Linked DNA regions of Lepisosteus oculatus. The protein of the gene in region 3 purifies or fractionates together with the protein of the main gene of each other region. This does not show direct contact. Links are inferred from orthologs where the notes say so. Each region holds a gene or a part of one and is shown on either strand. Other genes may lie near its edges.

Evidence for each region.
Region 1: the proteins of dis3l (region 3) and exosc7 purify together in Homo sapiens (affinity purification with mass spectrometry; 3 studies listed by BioGRID and IntAct, counting the BioPlex papers as one, with this or other methods). This does not show direct contact. The link is inferred for Lepisosteus oculatus from reciprocal best matches to the Homo sapiens genes DIS3L and EXOSC7.
Region 2: the proteins of dis3l (region 3) and exosc1 purify together in Homo sapiens (affinity purification with mass spectrometry; 4 studies listed by BioGRID and IntAct, counting the BioPlex papers as one, with this or other methods). This does not show direct contact. The link is inferred for Lepisosteus oculatus from reciprocal best matches to the Homo sapiens genes DIS3L and EXOSC1.
Region 4: the proteins of dis3l (region 3) and exosc8 purify together in Homo sapiens (affinity purification with mass spectrometry; 4 studies listed by BioGRID and IntAct, counting the BioPlex papers as one, with this or other methods). This does not show direct contact. The link is inferred for Lepisosteus oculatus from reciprocal best matches to the Homo sapiens genes DIS3L and EXOSC8.

The regions. Positions count from the first base shown.
Region 1 is NC_090705.1:41,383,080-41,390,367, reverse strand, and holds the start of exosc7 (exosome complex component RRP42), read right to left. Parts: upstream 3,015-7,288; 5' UTR 2,918-3,014; coding exon 2,861-2,917; intron 2,588-2,860; coding exon 2,486-2,587; intron 2,079-2,485; coding exon 1,984-2,078; intron 324-1,983; coding exon 158-323; intron 1-157. UniProt on the Homo sapiens protein: Non-catalytic component of the RNA exosome complex which has 3'->5' exoribonuclease activity and participates in a multitude of cellular RNA processing and degradation events.
Region 2 is NC_090699.1:16,729,472-16,736,772, reverse strand, and holds the start of exosc1 (exosome complex component CSL4), read right to left. Parts: upstream 3,020-7,301; 5' UTR 2,968-3,019; coding exon 2,940-2,967; intron 2,166-2,939; coding exon 2,050-2,165; intron 1,847-2,049; coding exon 1,772-1,846; intron 1,436-1,771; coding exon 1,347-1,435; intron 427-1,346; coding exon 393-426; intron 295-392; coding exon 244-294; intron 1-243. Other genes in the region: phosphoglycerate mutase 1, read right to left, coding at 6,140-6,309, 6,551-6,731. UniProt on the Homo sapiens protein: Non-catalytic component of the RNA exosome complex which has 3'->5' exoribonuclease activity and participates in a multitude of cellular RNA processing and degradation events.
Region 3 is NC_090700.1:47,684,769-47,691,962, reverse strand, and holds the start of dis3l (DIS3-like exonuclease 1), read right to left. Parts: upstream 3,003-7,194; 5' UTR 2,811-3,002; coding exon 2,681-2,810; intron 1,448-2,680; coding exon 1,291-1,447; intron 1-1,290. UniProt on the Homo sapiens protein: Catalytic component of the RNA exosome complex which has 3'->5' exoribonuclease activity and participates in a multitude of cellular RNA processing and degradation events.
Region 4 is NC_090700.1:15,731,514-15,738,976, reverse strand, and holds the start of exosc8 (exosome complex component RRP43), read right to left. Parts: upstream 3,016-7,463; 5' UTR 2,967-3,015; coding exon 2,950-2,966; intron 2,433-2,949; coding exon 2,396-2,432; intron 1,964-2,395; coding exon 1,900-1,963; intron 1,643-1,899; coding exon 1,569-1,642; intron 1,058-1,568; coding exon 1,012-1,057; intron 894-1,011; coding exon 788-893; intron 353-787; coding exon 307-352; intron 153-306; coding exon 56-152; intron 1-55. Other genes in the region: alg5 (dolichyl-phosphate beta-glucosyltransferase), read left to right, coding at 3,567-3,632, 5,819-5,990, 6,927-6,973, 7,411-7,463. UniProt on the Homo sapiens protein: Non-catalytic component of the RNA exosome complex which has 3'->5' exoribonuclease activity and participates in a multitude of cellular RNA processing and degradation events.

The DNA.
Region 1 (7,288 bases), on a different chromosome or scaffold from region 3:
CTGCAAAGACGAATATTTAAATCAGGGAAAGAAATTACCAACTATAACTCCCTCTCCTTGAGAGACGAAAAATAAAGGCAGTGTATCTTTAAACCTCTTATAAAGAGGTGCAATGCTACGCACTGAATTTCCGAGGCTCTGGAGCGGACGTACTCACCAGCACATCCACATACAGAATCCAGCAGTGCTCCTTGGGGCTGATACAGAGCGCCCGCAGGTCAACGCTGTGGCGGTTGTTGAACACCTTGTACAGCGTGTTACTGATCTCGGTGCCGAGGTCTTCTCCCCCTCGCCCTTCAAACTCTGGGGTTGCGTTTGCCGAGCTGAGGAGCAAGTTTTCAAAAACACGTGAAGATTTGTAGCTCGAACCAGCCCTTAAATCCTGGAGATTTCAGGAAAAGACAAAACAGTTGCGTACAAAATGGACTTACCAATATTGCAACAACCACTATCTGCTACTATAGCATCGTTAACCTTCTATGTTCTCAAAGTGACTCTACTTTGCTTTCCCCTCTTGTCCTTTCCCAGCGTGCAAGACAAGATGTGGAGCAGAGGTTTGAAGAGACGGATTTCTCTGTGCTGGGCAGCACAGCAGTGAGGACTGACAGCTCTAGGACTCTAGGGTTGATCCTGGCCTGGGGCAGCTTCTATTTGGTTCTGCAAGCTTTGCAGGTGTTCACATTGATTGTGCCCAGGTGCTCCACTTTCCTCTGGATGCCCACAGACAAGGCGACAAGGTGTCTCTGGGTTCTATGTGTATGTGTGCAGGAGTGAGCGCGCGCCTCTCTCTCGAGACTAGCTCGCTGTCCAGGATATAATCCTGATTCTATCTAAGCAACACGGAAGTCCTCTGGGTCAGCCTCACCAGGAATAATCAGCTTTATCATCAGTGTTGGAACTGAACTCAGAATACACTCCCAACATTAGAAAATGTATTGTTGTGATTAAATATTTGTCACTTCACCCTCTGCCTAAAGAAATTCAGAGTTAATCTGAAAACCATTGATTACCGGTCCTCAGAGTGAGAGAAAACATGTCTGTTGACATTAAAAACCAAAATTCTGTTTCAAAGACTTTCAGCAAAGGCAAAAAAAATCCATTTTTAATCCTTTACCTCCACCTACTGGTTGTGTATACGAAGTGTATTCAGTGGAGTGGTTCTTAAATGACAACTGTTTTGATCCAAAATCAAAATAAACACATCCTGGTACGCCTTTGTGTCAGCACTAAGGCCTAACAGCTGACGCTTCAGAAAAGGGGTTTTCAGTCTTATAGACCACCACAGGAGACAACTGCTACCGGCTGGCTTTTCTCAACTGCACTAGTAAAACTGTGTTGTGGCTCGAAATTCCATATCTAACTGAGGAAGCTTACAGAGACAAATGTTCTCTGAAGTAAAGTTAAACTACTTGGATTACACACAGAAAAAAAACATCAGAATAATTTAGCAAAATTTCAAACTCATCATTTGCACCTGAGCTGTGCAGCAGAGAATTTGAGTATTGAATGCAACAGAGAATTTTGACATTTTCATTGAAAAGATAACTTTGGTAACACTATCAGCATTTCTTTTTTCGCTTTATCACTTAGGAATAGTCTGTGTTGATTCAAAATAAAAAGTCAAATTTGAAAGCGTCAGGTTTACCAGCTCGGATATAAAATGTGGAATCCTTCAGGATACTTGTGCAAGACTCTCTGTATGCTCTTAAAATTGAAGCAGAACTACGTATTTTCAGTTATGGTACACTCAGATTCATCCTTCTACTTATCATACACTTTTGAAGAGTTAATACTCTAGAACTTTTTAATATTCAACTGTCGTAACTGTAAGTACAGTGTAGAATTCATATTACTACTGTCACAAGACATTGTGAATTATTTTTACTTTTTAAATTTGCACTGTCAATCTGTGCAACATACAGGACCCAGTGAGAGCAGTGGTACTGTGCTGAAAACTGCTGTTTGGAATAAAAAACAACTTACCAGTCAACAAAAAACTCCAGAAACCCTTCATCTGGCACCATGGGCCTCGGTCTGCCAATCTCTGCTTTGATTCCCACAAGGATATCCGAGTACCCCTGGAGAAACCAAATAAACATCACACCGCGAAGGAGCAAGTAAAGGTTTATTCCCTTGAGAAAGCTTGGGATCCTATTTCAACTCACACTGCAAACAGGCTTATACACTGCTAAATGAAGTCTGAAGCAACATGTGATGTAGAGAATGTGGCTGAGCACAATACTCTCTTTTGTCACTCTGTCTGGATAACTCAGATCTCCGCAGTGGTGTTCTAAATGAAGTGTTATATCTTCATCAACAATTTACCCATAAGCAGCAATGAAAAACATGGAAACCTCCATATTTTTATCATGAACACACACACCCCCTTGTCACTTAGCTCATTTGTCTGAGCGCAGGGAAGACAGTGAGACGCACAGCTGCATCGTTGCCTCTAGAACGAAGGCAGACCGGATGTGTTATTTACCAGTTTAACTCTGGCGGACCCGTCGGTGTTGGACACTACATCAGTTTCAATCTCCATGTGTCTGTAATCTTCACAGCCCCGCCCATCCACTCGCAGGTCATCCTAAAAAAAATACAAAAATAAATCGTGCACGTTATTTTCCAAACAGGTTTCTAAAATCGCTTTCAGCGTGAAGTTGTTAATCGGCTACCGACTGCTTATTACCAACTGGGTTTCTACATAAGCACTGAAAACAGGTTACTCTCACGGCGAGAGAGAAGTTGGTTTGCATTTAAAGCTCCGTTTCTCCCGCTTAACAAACTCACACACCAAAATTGAACACCCACCCCCCTCCCAGCAAAACACAATTTCGTATAATTTTATAAGGTAACTCACCCGAACACCATGCACGATGTAGACCTTCTCTGCTTCGCTGATCTGCACAGTAGCCATGTTTTCTCCGCACCACGTGTGGCCGGGACAGCCGCTACCTCATCAAACTGCGACACGCCGGGGGGGGGCGCGCCAGGTCGGTCCGATTGCGCAATGCTGTGAGGATTTTTGCGGACTTGGAAAAACTGTTGCATATGCTGGCAGCCCTTTGCCTTTCAACAGCCTCCGGGGGGTAATATACCAAGAAGGACGCCTCGGAAGATTTCGCACTGGTGTGACTGAAAAAACGGGAAGGAAGGGTGTTGTTTAGCTGGAGTTCGGGGCGCAGGAAGCGTCGCCTCTTCACGCACACGGCGCACTTCCTGGTTGGTTACTTTCGCTTGCATTGGCTTGGCCAGAGCTCTCCAGATAGTACAGGGACCCTACCGACTGCACCGTCGAGCAGGGGCATGGTGATGCGGAACTGCAGCCACCTTAATCTATGGGTTAAGGAGGAGTAGGTCGGGCAAACCGGCAGTTAGTTGCGTGATAAGACACACGCACAGCGCCTTTGGTTCAGAAGGGAGGCGCGCATCGCGGTTCGCCAAGGTGCGCTGGCAGCGGGAGGCAGCGAGTGTATGAAGCTGACATTAGGTTTTCCATCGCGGGTGTTTCTGACAAGGAAACAACATCTGGCCGCCTGTGCCTTAAACGTGCAACCCCCCTTCGTCCTTTGAAAGGTGAGTGCAGACCAGTTGTTCGGCTTAAACTCGAAATCTTGCACAGTGGCGGTGGTTTGGATTCCTGTAGCTGAAACGACGGCTCGTTTAAAAAAAAAAAAAAAAAAAACATGCCACCTTTGGCCAGTCTGCGTTTCCTCCCATTATAAAATAGCGCTAGCGTTGTCTGAGATACCGCAAAATAGCCTTTGGAAGTCGAGCCCATGCCGCGAAGGTGGACGGGTTTGACGTCGGTTTCATCTCGAAGCGTAAAGGTTGGCAGTCTCGGGGAGACATCGTCGCGTCCACCCCACTCGCGCATTCCTCCCAGTTTGAAGAGGAGTGACTGCGGCGATATGGCTGGCGGTCTTTCCAGTTCGTCAGTCGGCAGCTTTTTGTCGTGTCAGGTTGGCCACCATCTGTGGTGCGATGGAGTGTGTATCACCATAGCAGATCCATGTTACAAGTAATGTAGAAAGTGTAACAGAGATATCGTACAGTGTGTTTACCCCCAGAACCCTTATGGAATGCCACTACAGCAGACGTCATTTTAATGTGTTTATCTTGTGCTGGGAGTCTTCACATTGCTGTGATATAGGCTGATGTTGCTAACGTCTTCCACAATGCTAAACGTCCACAATGCTAACTAGTTTTTAAACTTGAGTGCTATTTTCTTACTGTAATTTGTTTGTGAATAATATTCACGATGCATTCAGTAGTAGTCCCACGAACTTACAGGATAACAAGATTTACCCTCCACTTGGTGTTTTAAAAGTATAGATTTTTTACAAATAAGTATAGGGGTGCAATGAAAATGTACCACTTTCATAACGGTAGCGCACTGGGCTTGTGCACTATATTATTCACATCTTAATTAAGAGTTGAGATGATTTGTTGATTGAGTAGTATTCGTTGAGAGGGCGAAATACTATCAAGTCGTTTGATTTAGTAAAAGGCCTGCTGTTTAGTATTTGTGAAGAGTTAAAAGAATCAAGATGAGCTGGCAACCTGTATAAACGTGATTTAATTAACGCAAGAACAGTGAGATATATGACCCTGCCCTGCTGGAGAAGTGAAGATCCTCTGGTTGCCGTCTGCATGATTGAAGGCTGTAGGAAGAGCTGATCCGCAGGAGAATGGGGCTGGCAGCTCACTAGTTGAGAGAAACCAGGAAACTGGCTCTGTGAGGGACAGCCTACAGCCCGAGAGGCAGGGGGGCACCACGCTGGCCGGGACTGTGGCGTCCCATTGCGGGACTGTCTTCAGGTTGGGGGGGCTCCGTCACTGGAGGAAATCCTGGAGGACGTTGCAAGCATATCGGCAGATGTTGTAGCTCCACACGTGCACGAAAAAGATCCGCGAGTGTGAAGGCTGTTCAGGCATCGTCTCCCGAAGGTGCCAAAGAACACGCGAGGTGGCAGCCGAGGGGGTGTTAAGAGTGTCTTACTCACCTGGCGGTTTCACTCTTGACAAACCCGATGGAGGGGTGCCCACATGGTGAGCTTCGTGTTGAGTGTTGCTCCGGCCAGGTGTGACCAGCTGACTTCCAGCTGCTGGAAGCAGCTGCAGAGGTGTGTCGGATCATCCCACAGCGGACTGTGCAGAGGCTGATCAGGTCCGTGCATCATTTGCTCAGGACAGTTGTTCCCACTGCTTCCTTTGCAATATTTTCATTTTGACTTTGTGGCATTTTCTCACCTTTTAGTCTGAAAAACCTTTTGCATTTCTTTGATCCCATCACATTTTCTGTGGTTTGTGACTAGATCAGTTTTAGAGCTGTGTTGCGTTTCTTTTGCCCATCGTTACAAAATTGTGCTGCACAGTTTAAGGTTTGTTCCCCAACGCTACATTTTCCTGCACACGGCACACTTAATGCATGCCAGAGAAAACGCTCTGCAGTGGTTTTGAGAATTTTGTATGTATAGCAATGTGTCCATGTGGTCAGCATTATGTATAGTAAATTTCAAAGTACATTATTGAATACAGGGAAACATTTGCACAATTGCACATTGTGAATTTATAGATTTTGTTTAATTTGAAAAGTTGCCTATAATGCTGTTGGATTATTTGCATTATTAATCTTCACTGTAATTGTAGAAGAGCCGTGTTTCCGGGACAGTGACATTGATAGTCGCACAAGGCCTGTGGTCTTGCAGGGAAAAAAAGCTTTTGTGTGTGTGAAGTACTTGGTAACTTGGTTCATTAGCCAAAGGGAATAGTGCTTGGAGTCTCTCAAAGCCTGAAGAAGCCAGCCTCGCACAGACTGCTGTCTGCTAATTAATCATTTCTAGATGATGTATAACTCTTATTATTCGTAATGATTGTTTGGCATTAGCCGGGATTCTGACATTTAAGGAACTGAGTTACTTTTATGAGGAGCATTTGAGAGTTCTGCTGCTGGCTTTGAAACGTCCGCAGTTCTACTATAGCAACTTAGTAATATTACTTATTAATCACGTTTTTTACAATGTGGTGGTCAGTACCGCACTCTCTCCCCCTTCTTTGTGACGAGGTTGATCGTAGGAATTCATGTTTCACGTTACAATTCTTTTGACGATCAAGATATAGTTTCAGCCTGATTTAAGAAATTCTGCTCTGACACTGCATCTGTTGGCTGTATTTTTTAATGTTGCTGGTTGCTCTGTCATCTTCATTTTAAGTTTTTCCCCCTTTGAATTATTGAGCTTATTTTAAATTATTGTTTAAAATCATCAATTATTGAAAAGAATCTGCCTCTTCTGTTGGTAAGAAAGAATTCCAACCCATCTGATGAATGCATTAGTTTTTTATTTGGTTTTGAATTAGAATGTGATCTTATTTTGTTGTCGTTTTTTTTTGTTGCAGTACCATTGTTGTACGTATAATAGTGTTTCTTCTTTTGTGACTGTGGCCTGAGAAATAATTTACCTTTCTGTCTATTACATTTGTCCCTTTGGTGAAAGTGACATTGTAGTCTGGCATTTCTAGTTCTTAGTGTTTACCTACTATCGTAGTCTAGTTCTTAGTCATATACCCTTCCCTTTGTGTGTACAGTACACAAATATGTCCCTTGTAGGTTCACAGAAAGGCACCTACAGTACCTTTACAATCTGGCTGCTTTTTAAAGAGGGAGATATAGAATATCATAACAAAGTTCAATAGTTCAATTTCTATATGTTACTAGAATGAGAAAGAATGTTCGTTTTGCATATCGGTTTTATTTTTGATGAATTGGTCATTAATGACTGACCCTGGTTCACTCAAGTGACTTTGACGCTTTCATAAGCATGAAGTCGCCTCATTAGTGAGAGGGCTGATTGGGCACAGGCGACGAGCTGATTTAACCTTGTGAACGTCCGTTGTTATGAAGAAATCCCAAGTGACGCAAAGGCAAAGGTGTTGCAGGAACAGACCAGCCTCTTTCACAATAAATCGCGGTTTGCGTTGCCCACCCTGATGTATATTGGCGAGCATGGTGCGCACAGGCAGAATGATGCACTTGATTGCTGGTCCCGGTGTGATGCCATTGGTGGTGATTTTTTTAACAGCCTGACTGCATGCTGCTTCACTGCTCATGTTCTGGGATGCCACTTGCAGTCCTTCCTGTGGGCTCATCCTGGTGCAACGATATGACAGCTGAGTGGCCTTCCTGGGAGACGAGTGTGACAGTTCAGTCCAGGTTATTCTGTCGTATGCACAAGGGCAGTGGAGTGCTCTTTCGCATGTGTGCTCCAATGCAAAGACATTAAGGAAA
Region 2 (7,301 bases), on a different chromosome or scaffold from region 3:
CAAGACATTATTCAGAACATTTTGTACAGACATACAGGTCAGACTTATTACTACTCAAGCTTTACATCTCCATTGAGCCCTTTATTCACAATACCGCTAAAAGCTGCACTGCATGCAGCGTGCGCTGACTGCCGATGAACCCATCGGCAAACGCGCAGCTCTTGTTAATGTTTTTTAGAAGCATCAGAAAGGTGTCGAGCAACAGAGGGCTGTTGTCTGCCCTTCAGCATCTACAAAGGATACAACTTTGGCTAGAACGATATCTCCTGGTCGGAAACTCTTGTAGATCTCCACCTGATAAAGAGTAAATTTACAGGTCATGGGATTGGGAAACCGGAAATAAAGGCACTTATTGGATATCAATGCACTGCAAGTCAATTTGAAAATAATACCTTGTCCTTTTCTGTAGCTCTCACATCTTCCTTTCTACAAAAAAAAGTATTAGAAATTTAGATTCTGTACCAAAAATACCTAAATGCATCACACTCACAGAAACATGAGACGCCAGCGTCTTTCAACTTTCCATCAGTTCAGTATTGCTTAGAAATATTTTAATTCAGGGTCACATGGGAATTTGCCTTATACTGTGCCAAAAAATAAGCAGCACTACTCTGTCGTACATGACAGCGGCATTTTACCACCTTTGTGATGACAGGGACCAGCTTTCTTCCTCAACCTGGGCTTTAGCCTTAATGTCCTGGCTATTTTCATCTGTTTTCATATAGTTACATTTATGTCTGTAAACTTATAACTACAAAGCTCACATGTATAGAACGTTTATTTATTTGTTGTAGTTGTTTAAATCGTTAGCCCAAGACTTTGTGCATTGTGTTAACATGATGCAAACAGGCAAGAAGAATTGGCAAGACTTGAATGAAAAAACACATGGACCGATGGAAATTATTCAGTAGAGTCTCCAAGCACCAAAAATAAATGCAAATTGTTTTTAGACTAACAGTTCAAATACAGCAGTTGACAATGAAACAACAGTGTTTTCTAAGGACAAAAAATGCATAATAAATATTCAGAAATTATGGTCATACACACAAAACCTGTCCGTGTGATGTGGATTTTTCACATTTCACTCACTAATAGAACAGAATATAAGTTCACTATGAATGGAAAATTCAATTGTGAAATTACATACAAAAACTCAATTTGTCCATAAAAATTATTAACTCTCACATAGCATTGCAAGGAGACAGCCATGGACGGGTCAGTGAGAAAAATGTATCACAAGAACAACACATATGTTATGCATTATTAGGGTATTTACAAAGTAAATAAAAGTATATGCTAAAATATAATTTGAGACATGTTACTTGAAATGTCATTGCTCTAGTTACCTGATTGTTCCTCTGAATCTGTCCTTCAGTGGGGTGGATCCAACATAGAGGATCTGGACCTTAGCAAATCGTGGGTTGATGCTTGTAACCTGTTGGCAAAAGACCTTCACTCCCCTGGAACTATAATGTTGACCAAGCCTCTTTCATAACACTAACTCCACAATCACCAGGACAAAAATGACATTCTGTTTCACTGGCACTTCACATCTATAATAGGAATTTTCGGCTATTATCTACAACTTAAGATATTATTAGTCTAGGGTGGCAAAAAAAACAATAATACCAAAATACAAATGACCAAAAAAACAGTGAGGTAGGCTTATGTTAGTATTGCTATGCCTGTGCAGCACAGAGCAAACCGAGGGATGTTAGGACAGAGAACTTCATACTTCTGTGTAAAACACCCTGGAGGACAGAGCTCCTACCTTGCATGTGACTGTAGCGCCAACATCAGGCAGCAGCTGAGCCTCACTCTCCTTCACCACCGAGACCACAGGCATCTGCAGAACACAACAGCCAAGACAAATCTCCCATTGCTAGAACAGTACTCTTGCACCATCACAAATGCACAATCCAGTTTCAATGACCATTTACAGATCTTTCTGGTATATTTTAAACCATTTTCCTCTGCACACGCAACACTTCCTTCCACACTTAGGAGATGCACTTGGAGGAAGTACAATTCTTCCACACTCTCACCCACCTCCTCTCCCGCGTTCTTCCTCAGCACATAACCAGCGAGGGAGGCAAAGATGTAGCCATGACGCAAGTACGTTCCAGGCCCCGGGACACACTCCTCTGTGCTGCACAGCCTCTCTCCTGCGGGACGACAATATTTACAGGCAACCACTGCTCAAAGTCCAGCCCCAGAGCAACAGAACAATCAAACAATGCTGTTTATACTGTCAGCATCACTTGAAAATAACAACTTTCAAGTGCCAACTTTAATAAGGACGGGGTCAGAAGACGTGGCTTAATGGTTTAAATGTCTACTTTATAAATGGCGTTAAGCTTCAAAAATAGTCTCTACGACGTACCTAAGACACGAATTTCGTCAGGATGATGTAACTGTCGGTAAAGCGAGGTTAACTTTACAAACTATACTAGGTTTAAGTGTTTGGCTCCTGATGGATTGCTTTGATACTGCTACTGTTTCTAATGTTATACCTCACCATACACCGAGTCCTTTCAATACGACTTTTAATTTATCATTCAATTGCAAAGTTGTTCTGCAAGACAGGTATACCCATACTCAGTTTCTGGCATCACTTTATGAATACAGCTACCGAAAACAGCAACGAAATGTGCTATAACCTCTGTTGCCCCGAGAGACCTACCCTTACTGACAAAAAAGTGTTATATTAAACAATGTGGCTCAGTCAGGGGATCATTTTCAAACTTTTAAGAATTACTATGATTTTTACTTTAAAAACTCACACAACATTTGGTGAATGAACTAAGAATCAATACAAGACAAGAAAGTGAAACCCTGCAGTCAAAATGTATCCATGTGTGTATTAACTGCTGTCAGGTCCAGACGATTCAGTCATTAAATACATTTTATTTCACATAACGTTTTTAAACCCCACGTACCTGGCACACACAGCGTCTTAGGAGACATGTTTTCAGAATAGAATAAGAAATGCTCTGATTGGCCCACACGGCAGAAGCAACGAGTCATCTGATTGGCCAAAGCTAAGAACGGCTGTTCTAGATTAAGCTTTTTTAGTGGTTCAGTGTTACTGACTTCCGGTCGAGTAAGAGACCTGTGACCTGATTGCGAGTCTATGATGTGCTTTTAATTTTACCATGGCTACATTTTGTTGTATTGCAAGTTATGTTAATCTGAATACACCAGTTAACAGAAAACATGGAGTAAAATCCCACCTGTAATTGTACAGTTCGAGTACGTAGCTGCTTCAGAATGCGTAGGCTGCAAAGGGGCAAGTAAACGTATATTCCACGCGGAAACATTACGGTTCGGCTGTGGAGCCTTCTTCAGGTGTGATATTGTTAAAGCCACACCTGAAGACTACACGGCCGAAACGTTGCGTCTCTTTTCTTTTCCTTTCAACATGGAATAAACCTCTACCTGTGCCTAAATGTACAGTTGTTTTAAAAGCGGAGATCGTGACGAGCAGAAGAGTATCACCTTTAAAGATCTATCTATGCAGGCTTTATGAATGTTTTTACCTTAAAGGAAAGTTCTGCTCTGACAGGCTTAAATCACTTTCATGTGTCATTTTTCAAAAACGTTCTGGAAGCACAAATGCATTTTATGTAGTCTACATTTTGAGAGCAGTAGTCACGGATACCTCCATGTAATCGAGCAGTCCCGTCACGGTCGTCCACTTGTCTGTTCACTATCTTCTGTCTAAAATTATTTTCAGGATTGCATTTTTCTTTATGTGCTCCTCTACTCTAGTTAAACTTACACTACTTTAGACGTGGCTGAGAAGCTGACCTGTCTATAATTCCTTAATTCAATTTTGTCCCCGTTTTGGTATGAATGGTAATTACATTTGTGATTTTCCAAACAGGCAGGGTACCCTGTACTCCAAGTGTTATTCGAAATACTTTTTCAGAAAAGCGGGTCTGGTCCACATGTAGTTTGAACGTCAGACACCTCCTTAATTTATCGCCGGATTAAATCGTTTACAACCAAGATGGTAATTTCACCTAAAGCAAATGTTTAATTCCCCCATTTGTGAACACCTGTATAACCGTTTACTTCTTCCACTCCGCTCTTCTGGATAATAGATGTGCATCCCAATTACCCTTTGTTTCTTTACAGCTAAACTTTGCAAAGGATAGAATACAGTTCAATCCATCCAATCCATTTTTTAAATATTTTCCTATTTTAGTATTTTACATATGTCCTGTGCATTACCTAACCGTGTACGAGCTCCATGGATCTCAGACCCCATCTTCATCAGTCCTCTCAGGAAACACACCAGAGCATAACTAATTTTACTTTCATAGGTTTCATGGTAAATACTGTAATGCCAGCGTTTTTGAGGACGCGTTTAAAACACAGGATGAATTATGTCCAGCAGAGGGCACTCTGACCACACTTCTCCCTGTTGAAAAGCACCTTACAGGAGCACTCAAGACCTTAGCAGAGAATATCTCCAACAATTATTTTAATTCTTCCAACAAATAGGTTTCTCTGGCAAGTATGGAATGATACTATTAGTGATGTGGTATTTATGAAGACTACAGATCAGATTTCAATGTATGTTTAAATCTTATTTCAACTAGAAATTTTCACATTTTTATATAGCTTAACAGGAGTATATGGAAGTGCAAAAGAAAAAAATCATAAACATCATTTTATGAGATAAGTGAAAATAAGGGACAAAAGTCAATACAATACTGCACATCATAGGATTTATTTGTTTTACACAAGGGGTTCAGTGTACATCAAAACAGTGCATTGCAATAAACCCTAATCAAACTGAAGCTCTCTGAAGAACCACTGGCAGCAAAGCCACATGAACACTCATGTGAAGAGCAGGGGCAGAGTATCCTGCACACATACAAACTGAGGAACAGGGGCTTTCACCTGCAGAACCGAAGAATGCTGCAGTAACTGGCTGCTTATACTCCTCTCCAAAGCCAAGATTCAAGACAGAACTAACAATCAAAACATCAAGATTTAGACTGGGTCTTCGGTAGAGGAAGACAAACTGGAGAAATGTGTTAGTTCGTGTCCTACCTCAGCAGCCCTTTTATTTGAAGCAGAATCTGTTACTGTGTATGGAAAGGCCTTGTACACAAAGCAGATTCACTGGCTCTCACTGTAGGTGCTATAGGTGACGGATTCACACTCGATGTTACACTGGGTTCAGAGACAGGGGCTCCTTATTTCTCGCTTGTATGCGCTCAAGCTGCAGAGCCCACTCCTCACGGGAAACTGGCAGGAAACCTACACACAAACAGCGTCACAATGGTGAAAACTACAGACATACCAGCATGTGACGGGAGGGAGGGAGGGAGGGAGGCAGAGGTGCCCAGGTGGCAACAGCTCTCAGGAGCTGACAACAGGGATCGTGGAATGAATCGAATGCAAAAGCATTGCTCCTCGTGTGCCGGTCTGTAACCCAAAACCTCAAAATGTGCGACATCGGAATGACTACAGCGCACACAGAAGTTGCTGTGAAAAGTAAACCTGTGAGAATGAATTACAGGGCACATTCCAGCTTTATCCAGCAATAATAAAGCTTTGTGTCCAAATTTTGTTTTCCCTGTTGCATATTTACTTATACAGGAGACAAAATGAAAAGTCTGACTTCCCTTTTAAACTGGGCCAAGGGTTCCCTTTGAAAAGTTGTCAAATTCTTTAATGGCATAAACAAAGCTTCATATGTAAAACGAATTTGTTCATGAACGCTTAAACAAACTGTAAGGATTATCAATGACCTTTTTCGAATGAAGAAGCTAGGAGTCAGATATTGCAGGTCAAGAAACTGTTTGACTGAGCTACTGGTCCCTTGTTTGAGCTTTGGTCTACATTAGTCTTTAACATTCTCCTCATCCTACCCTGTCCATCTTCGCGTATGACAAATTTAACAAGCCCGCTCTTCTTGCTTGTTACCTTGAAGAAACCCTCCAACTGTCCTGTATCAGAAAGAAAGTAAGAGAAGGACAATGCTAAATGACCTGAGCGAGCGCCGGGAATGAAACTTGTGATGTGTGGTGTAGAAGGGAGGTTTGCGTGTGTCCTCCGAGAGCAGTGGCACAGCGCCCCCCTGCCAGGAGCCTCCAGCGTTCGTGCACAGGAGGCTTTCTTTTTACTTCTTGGCCTTGCCCTGGGCAGCCACCGCCTCCATGGCCTTGCGGACAGTCTCCTCGTCGCCCAGGAACTGCATGGGCTTCACGGGCTTCAGGTTCTTGTCCAGCTCGTACAGGATGGGGATGCCCGTGGGGAGGTTCAGCTCCATGATGGCCTCCTCCGACATGCCTGTCGACACAAGAGCAGCCTGAGTAATGGCATCCTGCCACCACCGCCGCGCCGCCGGAACAGCTCGGCCGGCGGCAGGTCGAAAACAAATCCCGAGGCCAGTCAGGCATTACGAGAACATCAGAAATAAAGTACCAGTTTTGGTGCCACAAGATTAATGGGAAAATAGGTTAAATGAAATGTAGCTGCCATAATATTGAAACCCTGCCCTAAAAACAGAGCGTCCTCGGCGGGTACATACCCTCTAGGTGCTTGACGATGCCCCTCAGGCTGTTGCCATGGGCAGCGATCAGGACCCTCTTGCCCTCCTTGATCTGCGGGACTATCTCCTCGTTCCAGAAGGGGAGAGCTCGGGCGATGGTGTCCTTCAGGCTCTCGCAGGAGGGCAGCTGGTCCTCCGTCAGGTCAGCATAGCGACGGTCCTGCCGGAAGCAGGGAAACACAAGGTCTCTCTGGGTGCTCGTATAATGGTACACTGAAGGAGTGATTTACAGCAGGCCCAGGGCTGGACTGAAGAGTCAAGGTTAGAAAAGAAGGTAAACATCAGTACGCACGTTCGTTGCTAAAAAAGCAGAGGACAGGTCCGGTGATGGTATTTTGTGGAGACCCGTGCTTCAGAAGGGCTAGTTTCCAGAAGATATAGTAGACAATGAATTAGAACTCTGGCCTTGGCTGACAGAAACTGCCAAGAAACATTCTGGCTGTGATGCTGAAACTCAAACTTCATTACAATACCGAGCACCGTTTAAGGACTATAAATAGACAGCCTGAAAATAAGAAGAATTCAGATTCAGTGCTCGAACAGAGCACCTGTAATAATAAATCAGAGAATACCGGCAATCTCAGTCTGCCTCTGCTACAGCTAAACTGACTCTGGTGTGTTGTCATGTTTGAAAACAAATGTATCAGCTTCAGTTCAGTTATAAGTCCTTAAGGCTCATTGAATAGTTTTTTTTTTCTTTCACTTCAGTTGTTAAAAAGAAATATTTCAC
Region 3 (7,194 bases):
GGATGATGCGACAGCAGCCATAGTGCACCAGTACTCTCACCACACATCAGCTATCAGTGGGGAGGAGAGCAGAGTGATGAAGCAAGTTCAGAGATGGGGATTAATAGGAGGTCATGACTGATAAAGGCCAATGGAAAATTTGTCCAGGACGCTGGGATAATACCCCTACTCTTTTCGAGAAACGCCCTGGGATTTTTAATGACCACAGAGAGTCAGGACCTCAGTTTTACGTCTCATTTGAAGGACAGTGCCATTTTACAGTATAGTGTCCCCATCACTATACTGGGGCATTAGGACCCACACAGACTGCAGGGTGAGCGCCCCCTGCTGGCCCCACTAACACCTCTTCCAGCAGCAACTTTTAACGTTTCCCAGCAGGTCTCTCATCCAGGTACTGACCAGGCTCACACTGCTGAGCTTCAGCGGGCTGCCAGTTGTGAGTTGCAGGGTGATATGCTGCTGTAATAATGTGACAACAGACATCCAAACCAATAATGTGACAACAGACATCGCGCTAATAGAGGTACTAACCTTCGTAAAAGCAAAGTAATGTTAAACCAAGTTCCTAACAAATATATCAGCATTAAAGGGCCCGGGAAATCAATGGTAAGAATAGGATTGTTAACCCCCCATGCCCTGGCTAAATTCCACTCTAGGCTTGCACACTCTGACCTGCCTACTGTCAAATCTCCCACTCAGTCCAGTAGGTAGAGTAACTGCGCACTATTCTTTCAGCTGATCTGCTGAGCAGTGGGGCCGTGAGCACATGAGAACTGCTACACCAACCCAGGTGTGTCCCTCCTGCAAGTGAAAACGCTGTGGGATCCTCTGAGATGAAAAGTGATATATGCACAAATTATGAATGACATATTTCCCTGCAGAACGCCCTGGGCAACTACACAGGAGAGTGCCAAGGAACAAGTAAAGGTTTATCCCATGCTGAAAAGAGAAGAAAAGAAACACAGTGTTTCGGCTGTGGAGCCTTCTTCAGGCCCGTCACACACCTGAAGAAGGCACGGAATAAACCTTTACTTGTTCCTTTTTGCAGCCGAAGCATGGTGAACTCCCTGCTCCAGCTTATACCTTATACCTATGGCGAGCAGCTCGTTGGCATAATGGCTTCAGTGCCTGACTCGCATTCTGGAAGCTGGGGTTCGAATCCTGCTCACGGCATGAGTTCTCCTTTTCCCGCGGCCGGTAGAGGAATCCTACTCCATCGGGCCCCTGAGCAAGGCCCTTCACCCCAGCTGCTCCAGGGGACTGACCCTGCGCTCTGACCCCCAGCTGTACCTGCGCCCGCGGTGCTGCTGCACGGACTGGCAGGCCGTCTGCATGAACACGATCCCCCGCAGCTCCGCGAACTCCAGCACCTCCAGGAAGTCCTGCACCACTCCCACATCTGGCACCACGTAGTGGGTCACATCCCCGGGCAGCACCTTCCCTCCTGCTGGCAGACAGACACCAGGGCCGGTCAGCACCCGCGCTGTCCCCCCCCGCCGCTGGCACTGCCTCTGGGGCTGCTGGTCGTCATCATCATCATCATCATCATCATCATCATGGCTGCTGGTCATCACTGCTGCTTCCACTACACGGCTCTCTACAGCTTTAAGAGCCTGCCACAGGACTATATGTGGACCACTACGCCGTTTTTGGACCAAACGTCTGTTTTTTTTCTGTTTTTTGTGCAATGTATTTTTATATTTATAATGTGCAATAAAAGTTTTTGTGTACTGTTCTGTTTTTTGTACATTCTGTACTGTGTGCAACTTTTTTGAGTGCACTTCTCACTGACTGTGTTGTGTTGCTGTATTATTGTATTATTTCCTTACACAGTTGCTGTGTTGACTGCGCTCAGCTGCTGTTGCACTGCAATTTCCCTTATAGGATCAATAAAGAATCTATCTGATCTAACGGTTTATAACTGAGAGGAAGGCAGGCAGGCAGGCACTGGGCCTTCATTCATCTTCAGAACACATGGTGAAAACAAGACCCATAGAAAACAGGTGGAAATCAGGCGGATGTTCATTTACAACTGGGGACCGAGGCACTTCTTCGCCCACAGTGTGGTGGGAGTGCGGAACAAGCTATCCCACCAAGATCCTCAGATCAGCTAGTAAGCACCGAACTGCTCGGATGGGCCACAACGCCTCCTCTCGTTTGTAGCCTCTATGGTGTTCTTACGGGTGTGTTTATCTCTTTTTATTTTCAATAGCTAACTGATTTATCCTTTCAAATGTAATATGAATCTAATCGCGTGCTACATAAAGGCAAGGCAACAGAGATCACGTTAAACACACTGCGTTTTTACAACGAGACGAGCAGCAACAAGTGGCTGTTTTTTAAAGAAGAAATGAGCTGCCTCCGAGCCTGCACACAGCGGGTTCGCCGGCCAGCGCGCTGCGGAGAGTAAGCCAGGGGATTTCTGTACCTGCACAGACTGCTATTTTTCATTTTACTTTCACATAACGCGTTAAGATTGTTTTACAGTTTCCTGGACGAGGGAAAAGAGGGAATACAGAGAGACTGATCACAAGCTTGCTTCGTGTTTTTCTCAGTACGCAAACGGCAGATCTACATATTTACAGGAGAGACAGCTTTTCGGAAACGATATGCTGGAAAGGGTGTTTTGTGTCCAGTTTTGTCTTCGTTTCATTTACAAATCGAGAAACAATAACGTTACCGTTGTTGCAGTCCGCCTGGCACAGAGAGCTGTAGCAAGGTACATATTCTCTCAAATAATGTTCCCGCACGACACGGACCTTTCGACCGCGGGAGCTCTTGAGGTGAAGGATCTTCTCTGTCTTCAGCATCTCGTATTCCGGGAATAGACAGAATATCGTGATGTCGCCACTACAGCTTGTTTTCCAAGTAATTTATTTGTAAACAACAAGTCCATTGAGAGACGCTGCACGACATACCCACACACTCATCGCTAGCTTCACGCTACTTCAAATAGCGCTACAACAGCCTTTGCGTGACCTGGAAGGACTGTTCGTGTGTTGTGCAGCGAGACCTCTTGCGTCACAGGAAATCACAGATGAATAGAGAGTGGCTTGTTGGGGAACATGGAAAATGAGAAAGCGTCTCTGCCCAAGTTGAAGGAAAGAGCGGGGAAGGGACGAGTGTTAAACGTCTCAGGCAGGGGCGTAGTGGGTGCTCCGGGCTCTAACTGACTCCCAGCATAGGGCCACCCCTCCAATTTACAATGCAATCCTCGAGCGCTATAATCAAACAGCAGAATTAGCGGAACCTTATGTTTATATACATACGGTCAATTCAATTCAATTGAATTCAAGGTGCTTTATTAGCATGGCCGATGGGTACAATCAGTGTTGCCAAGAGTTGTTGTGTTGTGAGAGAGAGAGAGACCGACAGTGTTGTCGGTCTCTCTCTCTCACAGACACACACAAGTTAAGCAACAATTACCTAGGCTGCCGAACGCCATTGTGCCACGGCGGATACACATAAAAACAAGCAGTGCCTACCTCTGTTGTGAGGTTTTGGCCTTCTAGACCAGACGTAGGCGTCGGGGCTGGGAATTGAATATGGCGATAATCTCGTCACTGTCTAGAGAGTCGGCAAATTCCCGTTTAAATGTCAGCTAGTTTGCAAAGGTCTCTCATATGAGCACCTTGTCTTTAGCTAAAGAAAAGCTGCAAGAGCTCATTTTCACTTGTTGCTTGTAACAGTTCTAAGTATTTCGAATGCCTAATTTTAGATTTCGGTAGTTTTACGAGTTACTCTGAAGTTAATATTTTATTACAAAATACAATGAACACACGCAAAACGCAAGATTCAAAATCCGTGTGAAATTTTGTATTTAAAATACAATGCAGGGTTTACTTTGTCATTATCCGTGTGTTAGTATTTACAGGGGTCTTATGTGCAAACACAAGCTATGAGCTCACAGTCCTTTTATCTTTGTGTTTCTAGCCAGTCCTTGGTGTGGAATACAGCGAGAGGCACACCTGCCCTCTGATGACACAGGTATGGGTGCCTGTGTTAGATCCTCAGGTGAAGTCGAGTCTTCTGCAGTCTGCAATGTAATGACCCAGACAAGTTTGCTTGTCCTGCTCCGTGAAGTTGCCCACCCGCCCGTCGAACAGCACAAACGACGAAACTCATCGCAATCGTTACTGCTGCGTCTGTGCCGGTTTGTGTCGCTGTAGGTAGCGTTCGTGCTGCTTTTGTTTCCGAGATATAGCGCCTTGGTTTTTCGGGTAATCACGTGAATATCTACAAGGAAGTTTACAGGTACCAACAAACTCGGTACTTGAAGTCCTGATTGTGATGAAAACAATGGGGGCAATTTGTTTTCCGAGTCTGTCTGGTCGGGTGGGGTGGATGTTTCAATTTATTTCAATATAGCGCCTTCTTTTCCTGGCCGTGACGTCACTCGGTGACGTACAAAACAGCAAAGCCACAACCACCAAATCTTTTGATCAGTTGACCCCAGACTTTGCAGCCTTTACACGAATAAACAGACTTACATTTAGGGAGGAGTTACTACGTTAGTTCATTGGGTTAGGTGTTTTCTTTCAATTTTTAACCATGTTCTCGAAAATGTATTGCTTGTGTACTCCTTTCATTGGTGAGGAGACACCAGTTTCCAAATTACCGCTGGTACAACACAAGAGCCCATATTCACATTTTAGGTATTCGTTTCAGATCGATATAATTTAACAATAAAAAACAAAATTGAAAGCACGAGCATAATAATATAATTATCATAGACTTACAAAGCAGAAGGTGTTTCCCCTAAAATATACGATTCAAATTGTTCAATTACCATGTATGAATTACAGAAAGCAGTGGAGACAGTTATATTGCAAATAAAAAATGTCTTTATTTCGAAGAGTACGGTACATTGTGAATCAACAAAAAAAAATATTTAAAAAATAAGCCGATGTAGTTATTTTGCAAATTTGTAAAGCATTTTAAAAATATATCCTCATTGACAGTATACATAGAGGTATTAGTGGGGCCAGCAGGGGGCGCCCACCCTGCGGTCCATGTGGGTCCTAATGCCCCAGTATAGTGACGGGGACACTATACTGTAAACAGGCGCCGTCCTTCGGATAAGACGTAAAACCGAGGTCCTGACTCTCTGTGGTCGTTAAAAATCCCAGGGTATTTCTCGAAAAGAGTAGGGGTGTAACCCCGGCGTCCTGGCCAAATTTCCCATTGGTCCTTACCAATCATGGCCTCCTAATAATCCCCATCTCTGAACTGGCTTCATCACTCTGCTCTCCTCCCCACTGATAGCTGGTGTGTGGTGAGCGTTCTGTCGCACTATGGCTGCCGTCACATCATCCAGGTGGGGCTGCACATTGGTGGTGGTGGAGGGGAGTCCCCATTACCTGTAAAGCGCTTTGAGTGGCGTGTCCAGAAAAGCGCTATATACGTGTAAGCAATTATTATTATTATTATTATTATTATTATTATTATTATTATTATTATTATTAAACACGCCGATCCACCTGGTGCTGCCAGCTTGAACAGCTCTCAGACCCGTGATTGACTAAACCCCCGAGACACTTCGGGTCGCGATTGGTTGAAGAGTGAGAATCGACACTCTGATTGGGTAAAGCGCCACAGCGGAAGTTCTGAGAAAATGTAGATACAGAGGTGATGGATGTTCTTCTTGGTCCAAATACTGTAGCCCCGGTTAACCGTGTGTGCTGTATGAGCATGCTGGATATACAGTAACATATGCATTGGTTTCCAATTTCTATCAACTGAATAGCAGACAAAGAATGTCATGGCATCCACAGCGCGTTCACGACTCCGATAGCATGTCACGATAAGAGTGCGCGCATCACGATCACATCGCGATAACCATTGCGACTGGCGCATCACTGTCATGGCGCCACTGTCACGACATAAAGTCTATATATAGTGTATGGCATATAATCCCCAATCTGATATTTCAAGAAGTAGGGGCTCTAGAGTTTTTACTAAAGTGTAACTTTGACATTGGAAAAATCCCCTTGACACTTGCCAGTTTTCATTAACAAGTACTTCTGACGTGGTCACTTATGTATAAACATAACTTTTCCCCACATAGATTTACTATCTGGAACAACAAATATATAATAATTAGAAATAAAACCTTTTTTTTTAAACTGGGTCAAGAATGATATAATTTGGATTAAACAATTAATCAAGACTGATGGTAAAATATATAGTTACACCGAGTTTGTTAATAGATACAATATTTCTATTACTTTGGATCAGTATTTTGCTGTAATTAATGCGATTTCTGGGGAAATATTAACTCTTTTAAGGAGTTGTAATAGTAGTCCTTTAGAAACATTGGAAGAATGTACAGCTCATATTAAACTACAAGGAAAGGATATTGTGAGTAGTGGATGTAATAACCAATTTTTGAGATCCCTGTTAAAAAATGATAATTTACTTGCCACTACAATGTATTGGAATTCCGCATTTGGAAAGCGCATTGATTGAAGAAAAATTTGGATGATGCCCAAAAAATATTGTATAACCAATAAAATTAAGGAGGTTTCATACAAAATAATTAATCGAATTTACCCAGTTAAAACTCTTGTTACCCAACGATTTAAAATTAATATAGATGACAAATGTGTTTTTTGTGACAATAGCCCTGAAACTATTCAGCATTTGTTTTGGTTATGTTCCAGGGTAAAAATGTTCTGGACTAAGTTGCAGAATTATATTAAAAAAGAGACGAATATTGATATTTGTTTTGTTGAAAAAGATATTATGTTAAGTTTCAGCCCCAGTGAAAACAATATAAAAATTTCTTTTGTAATAAATTTAATTATTATATTGGCACATTATCACATACATAAAATGAAGTGGTCTGGGAGGTACCCTGTGTTTGAGCATTTTAAAATGGAAGTAAAGGGGTGTTTGCAGACTATATCAAAATGCAAAAAAATGAAAGCGGTGCGGACATTATTTTTATTTAATTTGTTTAATCTTTTTTCATAACTTGAATTAATGTAGTAGTATGTACCCCTGACGATATTTTTGTTTGGAATTGTTATATGTACTCTTGTTTGTATTGTAATGTTTGTTCTTTTGTTAAGCATAAATAATTAAAAAAATAAAAAAATTAAAAAGTCTATATATATCGCGATATCGCGATATGACATATCCTGACAAAACGCACCCACCCCCATGTCACGACATGGAGCCTGCATATCATGA
Region 4 (7,463 bases), about 32 Mb from region 3:
ATAACTGCTTATTTAAACTGCTTAAGTTTTTCATTAAAATAACTGTTATACATACCATTTTTAAGAGCTGCTATCAGGGCTATAATACAGGCATCCAGAATATTGCCATCGTAGTCAAGACACATAATGTCACAGTACAGGACCCAGCAGAGCTAAAATACAGAAAGCTGCAAATTACATTACAGAAAAAAATATATACACTGCAAATTATAATAAATATAAGCTGAGGTTTAAAAAAGTGTGAAGAAGTCTTAAGTAATTACTTTTAAAACATTGTTAATAGCTGGAGATCAAGAGAAAACCCACCTTTCCTTTCTCAATACAAATGTCTTCTCGTCGTATTACCTGTGAACTATAAAGAAACCAAAATATGTTTATATAGATAAAGTGTGATCAGACAACAGAACTTGAGAAACGGAGAATAGTTTAGTTTTGAGTAGTTCAACAGTGCAAGACAACTGGAAAAGTCTTAAGAGACTGTGTCTTCAAGCTGATTTCTATAGATCAGGTGTGGTCCATCCTAATCCTACAGAGGCAAAGATCAGCCTTAATTAACTATTTCTGATTACTTAAAGCAAATATAAAACTGTGGACTGACTTTCAGTTTTCTTTATTCTTAAGGGTCTAAATTACTCACATTTAACCAAGTGGTCTGGGTAAGTGGGACATTTTCCCATGGCATTATACATTCTTCATTCAAAAGTGATCCAGAAAACCTACTGGACTGCTGCTATGCCGAACAAGGACGGGGTAACTTTGGTATAAATGCTGCTCTGGGGCTGAATACCTTTCAATGACATCTGCGATAAACTGACTGGCTGCCTGGGCTTGTTCTCCTGGAGGACCAGGGCGAAACCGAGAGGAACAGAGGGGCGGCAGATCGACATTGGGAACTGAAACAAACACGAAACAAGCGTGCTGTAAGATTTACTTGTGCCACATCACCTGCAGAAGGAAGGTTATTCTATGTCCATACACCATAAGAAATTATTTTCTTGATATATGCCCTACCTATGTAACCTTTATTTGGTGCATCTACTGGTGGAGCTGTAAGTTCCTGCAACAGAAAAGGGGTGGGGACAAAAATCAGGGTGAAATGGATCCTACTTACAAATTCTCCTTTTCCAATCCCTCTGTCACACCAAGAGAAATAGTCTATAATTAATATTCCCTTTACTAAAATACTTGCCTGGGTGACTTGGCAGTCAGTATGCACCAGCGGCCTGACAATACAGCAGATCAAGGGGAAAAGTGATTAACCACTTCACCCATCACATTAACAGGAACTATTAAAAAGGCCAAATCCAGAGGGGAATTTAGACAGTGCACCTGGGGTTAATCCCCATACTTTTTCAAAAAGTGTCAAGGGATCTTTAATCAGTGAATAGTCAGCTTGATGAACATTGTTTAAAATAGTGGAAACCAGTGTACCTCTAAGAATATTATAGAATAACACTCTACTTGTATTTAACACTAACATGCAACAACAGAGATTTTGGTGGACACTAATGGACAGCTGTGTTATTGTTCTCACAGGTGTACAGTAATAGAAGTGTGGCTGGCCTTACCGCTTTAATACCACAGATGATGGTGGTATTCCCTATCTTCACTAAGGCAGAGCCATCAGCCGTTGAAACAGAACCTAACGAAGCGCATTAAGATACATTAGTCATCTACAAAACAACTTCTTTAGAGCAGTAATGAAACTAAAGTCAGTGACCATTCTGGTACAATGCCTCATCAGCATGAGTAGAGGATTCAAATCTTTTTTACACCTTGGTGTGTTTGAGAAGTTACTGAATAGAGATGCTAATTTAAAGCAAAGAGACTGTATACTATTTGCCGTTTAACTTCAATGGCACAGAGCCTTACAGTATATCAAGAACTGTGAATGCTCACCGATGTTCAATGTGGTGGTTCGGAATTCACCAAGCTCTCGTCCGTCAGGCCTGCAGTTCTCTTTCTAATGGGGTCGAACAATCCAAATCACTTAAATTCGCAGAACTTCTAGAAAAACTGTTTCATTTGACAACTCTTCATCTTAACCCTGACGCTTAACTCAGTTGTGAGCAATCATTACACTTCCAGTGCAAGTCTCTCAAGCTAATGTTTAATTATCAAAGTGATCCTTCAAAACATGGAACCCTTTTAAGACCATTTAAAAATGAATGCATTAATTTACCGGAAGATCTCCGGTCTCACCAGTACACAATGTATTGTCATTCGCGTTGATCATTACTTCTGTATTTCAATAATGGCTTTAAAAAATTGGCATTACTGTCATGGTATGAATGAACCTATACAGGAAGCAATTTACTCCTGACAGTAACTTACATCTACACGTAGTAAATTGTGTGTTGAGACTACGAAATACAGTTAGACAACCAAAACATACCAAAAAGCTTCTGTGGTACTCCAGAGGGTCTGCAGTTCTGAAAGAGGAAAGAAGTTACATTTTAAAGAGAAGCAAATCTCATTTTCTCTTACATTTTCCCTTCTGTCAAGACTTCACAACGCAAAAATAATCTGCCGGGAAAGTAAAAACGATGTACCATACGTGTGCGGCTCGATCTTGCATTAAAGCAACATACAGTAATGCTACATTATAGACAGGCTGTTCATTTGAATTTGGAACACTACGAATGACCACATTAAATGAATGGTTCATAAATGGAAAACTCCTGTTAAAGACACGAATGGAGCGACTCCCTGTACTTATCAATTGGTTAAATAATTTCACAACGCGGATTAGTTATGAATTAATACGATATATGCGTATAACGTTCCAAACGTAAATTATCTACAGTCCCGGTTTCAGCAGTGGAAATACAGCGATCTTATCAGAAATCACGATGTTCGGTGCCTGAAAACAATCCAATGGTATTCCTCATCTCCACTGAGTGGTTGAAATTAACTTTTCATACGATGGGGGAATTTAAATTCACCTACTTGTAACCTGCCGCCATGCTGCTTCCGTGGTGCACCACGTGAAACGGGTGGGCGGGGTGAATATACCAAAGATTAGCTCGCAACAGATTCGCGTTTTATGTACTTTGAATTTCTATATTTTTGCTTTATTTTACTTTATACGGGTTAAAAAAACGAAGCCTTTTTTAATTAGCTGCACGTAACGTGAAAAGAGGAAAATATCATTCGCGTGATGAATGAGGTAAATGTGATATGTGGGGGGGGGGGGACGCATCTTGATGTTTTGCAATTTATAGTACTCATAATTGTATAATGTTAGTATGTTCGAGACAGATCGATATTTACGTTTTGAATTTTAAAATGTATTAGCATGAGAGCCAGCTCCAAACCGGTAGAGGCCGCAGTCGTATTTACCTTACCCATGTGTATTCGATGCCCTCTTGGATTATGATGATGTGTGCTTAACACTTGGGAAGTGGGAAACACTTCCGCGTCAGTGTATGTCAGTGAGGGCAGTTGTAGCTACGTGTAAAAAAAATGGTATTGCGGGAAAAAAATAGTTGATTGGTTCGATGTACTAGCATTTTTAGTTTTGGGGGAATACGGTTCATGTCTTTCTGTAGGCCCTGGAATGGAAAATGGATTGCTGTTTATGTGAAATCGTTCTAGCTTTTGCTGCTGTAGCCCTGATTTGTTTAATTTTGGTAAGTATGCATGGATATTGATATGTACATGTATATCATTTTAAGTCGATGTTATCATGGGCAGTACAAATGCGTATGAATTATCGCGATTTACGTTTACGGTAAATTATATTTTTATTTACAGCACTTGTATGCTGATGTGTTACCTCGAAGACACACTATTCTTGAGTAAATTTGAAACCAGTCCACTGTTTCTGATCTCCTTGCACATTAGTGGCATTTAACTTACAAGAACTATACAGTACCAGTAACTACATTTTATTGGTTTTAAAATGGTTGTGTCTAAGTATTGTTGTCCACATCTTTCTCCAAGGAATAATATTAAAACTGTTAAAACATTTAGGCTAATTCTGTATTCTTTCCCCTTAACGTATTTGGAATATTTGGACTTATTTGTGTTACTCTTGGATCTGAAAATAAAACGCCATCCGTGACACAATTACCTGCTTGTGATTCATTCATTCAACAGTTCCTGGTCTCACAGAGGTGCCAGGGACAATTGCAAACTATGAGCAAGCAGCTTTATACTTAACATGGTTTTAGCGCTAATGTAAATGGGTTTTTTTTAACTTCATGTAACTCTGGATGCAAAGCAGTGAGATAAATGTGTTCTTTACAGGCTAAATGTTAATATAGGTGCTCTAATGTCATTGCACAGTACGCTTTTTATAATCTCCTGATCACCAGTATTTTCTTCAGGGATCCCAAGTACCAGGGCATTGTTGTACCCTAAATTGGGAATTTCTGGGGTACCTGTGTAATTGCAAGTTTTCTAGATCTCAATGAAGGACCAACATAAGAAAATCTGGGAGGAGCTGTTAAATTCAGCTGATTTAGGCTGAAATCAGAAAGAGAACCTGCAGACACACCAAGCCACTGGGAGTAGGACTGCCCACCTCTCTGCTACATGCTGGGAAACAAAAGCTTTCCAGTCTGCTTTGTAGAATGGTTGTTAAATTTAAATGCCATGGAATATTTTTACTTGGGGCTTGCTATAACAAAACTCACATTTCAGTTGGGCACCCCTCCCTTTATGTACAATCAGATTATACTGGTATGTGCACTTTCATGAGTTGCACATTTATTAAGCACTTTTTCGAATATTGAAACAAACAAGGGCTTTGTTTTGTTTTCTTGATCAAGGCCTTTTAGAGGCAAAACAGCGCTGTTGCAAATTTTCAATAATGCCGGGATAAGAACATCTTGTCCCCCTCAAAGTACAGTAGTTGCAAGTTTCAAAATGAGATCTTGCTTTACTTTTGCTTTGCTTTACTTGGGAAAACCAAGGTTACAACTGTAATTTACTTATTTTAATTGACATCGCACGACAAGTGGGAAGCGATTTTTCTTTATTTCCACTGCATACCGAGTTGGTGACACTATTGATAGCTTTTCCCACGCTAGAGTCTCTCTAGTGTTTGGTTTAAGTTGTTGTTTGAGATAATTAATAAAGTGAAAATTTGAGTGAGTAGTATCTGGCGGAGCGGTGGCTCTGTGGCTAAGGATCTGTGCCTGTGGCTGGATGGCTGCCGGTTCAAATCCCACAGCCGGCAGAGGAATCCTACTCCATTGGGCCCCTGAGCAAGGCCCTTAACCCCAACTGCTCCAGGGGTGCTTTACAATGGCAGACCCTGCGCTCTGACCCCAGGCTCTCTCCCTGTCTGTGTGTCTCATGGAGAGCAAGCTGGGGTATGCAAACAGACAATTCCTAATGCAAGAAATTGTAAAGGGTTAATAAAGTGATACTATTATTATTATTATTATTATTATGTAGTTCAGGTGGGTAGCTGCGTCAAAATGCGTAGGCTGCAAAGAAACAAGTAATAGGTTTATTCCATGCTGAAAAAAAGAAGAAAGAGAACACAACGTTTTGGCCGTGGAGCCTTCTTCAGGTGTGGTGTGTGTGTGTTCCTCTACCGCCACCTGAAGAAGGCTCCACTGCCGAAACGTTGTGTTCTCTTTCTTCTTTTTTTCAGCACGGAATAAACCTATTACTTGTCCCTTATTATTATTATTATTAGAATAAGTTTCCACCCACAATGTACCCTTCACGTACAGGATTCTCCTGTGTTGTTAGTATTCATTTGTGTGCATTTCACGGTCATGGGATGACCCTTGTAACTCTTACTGTACATTACTGGGAAGGTTGACGAGTGGGTGAATGACTGTTCCTTCCTCCTCTGCAGGTGTTATTAGTAGCACATTTTAGTGCGTCTAAAATTGTTGACCTGAAACGTCACGAGAAGGAAAAAACTTTCCTGACTAATGAAGGGAAAAAAGAAGCTTTTCCAAGTCTCCACGACCCCCATTCCAAAGACCTCTCAGTGATAGTGCCCTCATACAATGAAGAGCAGAGATGTAAGTTTTCTTCCTCAAGAACGCTTCAGCACAGACTTCAGTGTCTGTAGTTTGTCCAGGTTTAAAGATTAATTGCTGTCTTTCTTTTGTAATGATGCAAACATGTTGAATCTATGGTTTGGAAAAAGGTGCAGTTCTAGTCAATTAAATGATACTGAGCTGTTTTAATTTAGAATTAAGTATTAAGTCTGCCAGATTTTAAAGAGCTGTAACCATCTTACACTGTTAAATTTCATATATTGTATCTCAGCCACTGTAGTTTGAGATATAAAATAACTTCATTTTCACCCTCCACATTCCTTACAGCAGAATAAGTCTGAGAAGCAATGAAGTAACCCTGCTTTGTTTTAAAGCAATGCCAAAAATTTTGATGTAATTCATTTAGAAGCTTGACAGCATTGCATTAATAATTTTACCAGTGCAGGTGACATGTTGGCACAGTGGTTAACCTTGCTGCCTCACAGCATTGGGTCCTGGATCCAGTTCCAGACCTGGGGTGCTATTTGTGTGGAGTTTTGTAGGTTCTCTCCATGTTCACTTGGGTTTCAGCCATGTCCTCCAGTTATTTCCCACAGTCCAAAAACATACCGGTTTGTTAATTGAATTCTGGGAAATGTGGCTCTGGTGTAATTTTGTAGTGTCTGTGTTTGTATATGTCTGCCCTGCGAGGGACTGGCATCCATTCCAGGATGTACCCTGCCTTGTGCCTGTTTCTTGCCGGGATAGGCTCTGGCTCCCCAGCAACCCTGAATTACAAGAAACAGCTAGAAAATGGAGTTTCACAGTGCTTTTTACCTGCCTTACCTGTTACAAAAAAATAATTTTAAAATGTTTTTTTTTTACAAAGTTTGTCAGATGCACAGCTATCGCATTCTCGGTTATACAGAACCGTACTGTTGAAAAACAAGTGACTGTGTTGTCACACTCTCCTTTCAGTGCCTTTGATGATGAATGAGGCTTTGGAGTATTTGGAAAACAGACAGGTATCTTGTCTACTGTATATATGCATTTTCAATCATTGAGACAATTTCTGACTATAACTCACCAAATGTTCTTATACTGTGTAACAATGGTTGAAAGTGAAATATGATTTATTTTTGTTTTAAAAAAAGTTTTGAGTCATGTATATTTATATCACATATTAGAACACATTTGTGCTGAACATATAATAAAGGAAAATGGGCTGTTAAGCTGGCCTGAGAGCATATTCTTCGAAATCTGATTCACTACTACAGGGAGGAATAACCCAGTTTTTTAGAGTTACAGATTCTTCTTGAGGGTTCAGCTGCTTTAGGTTATAGAAAATAGATCATTAGAACAGAATGCGCACTAGACATAAATAACCACTAGGTGGCGCTGATATTCCAGTTTCTTTCTTCTCCATCCTTTGTCAATTCAACTGCAAACGTTTCTTTTGCAGAAGCGGCAGCGTTCCTTTACTTATGAAGTGATAATTGTCGATGATGGCAGTAA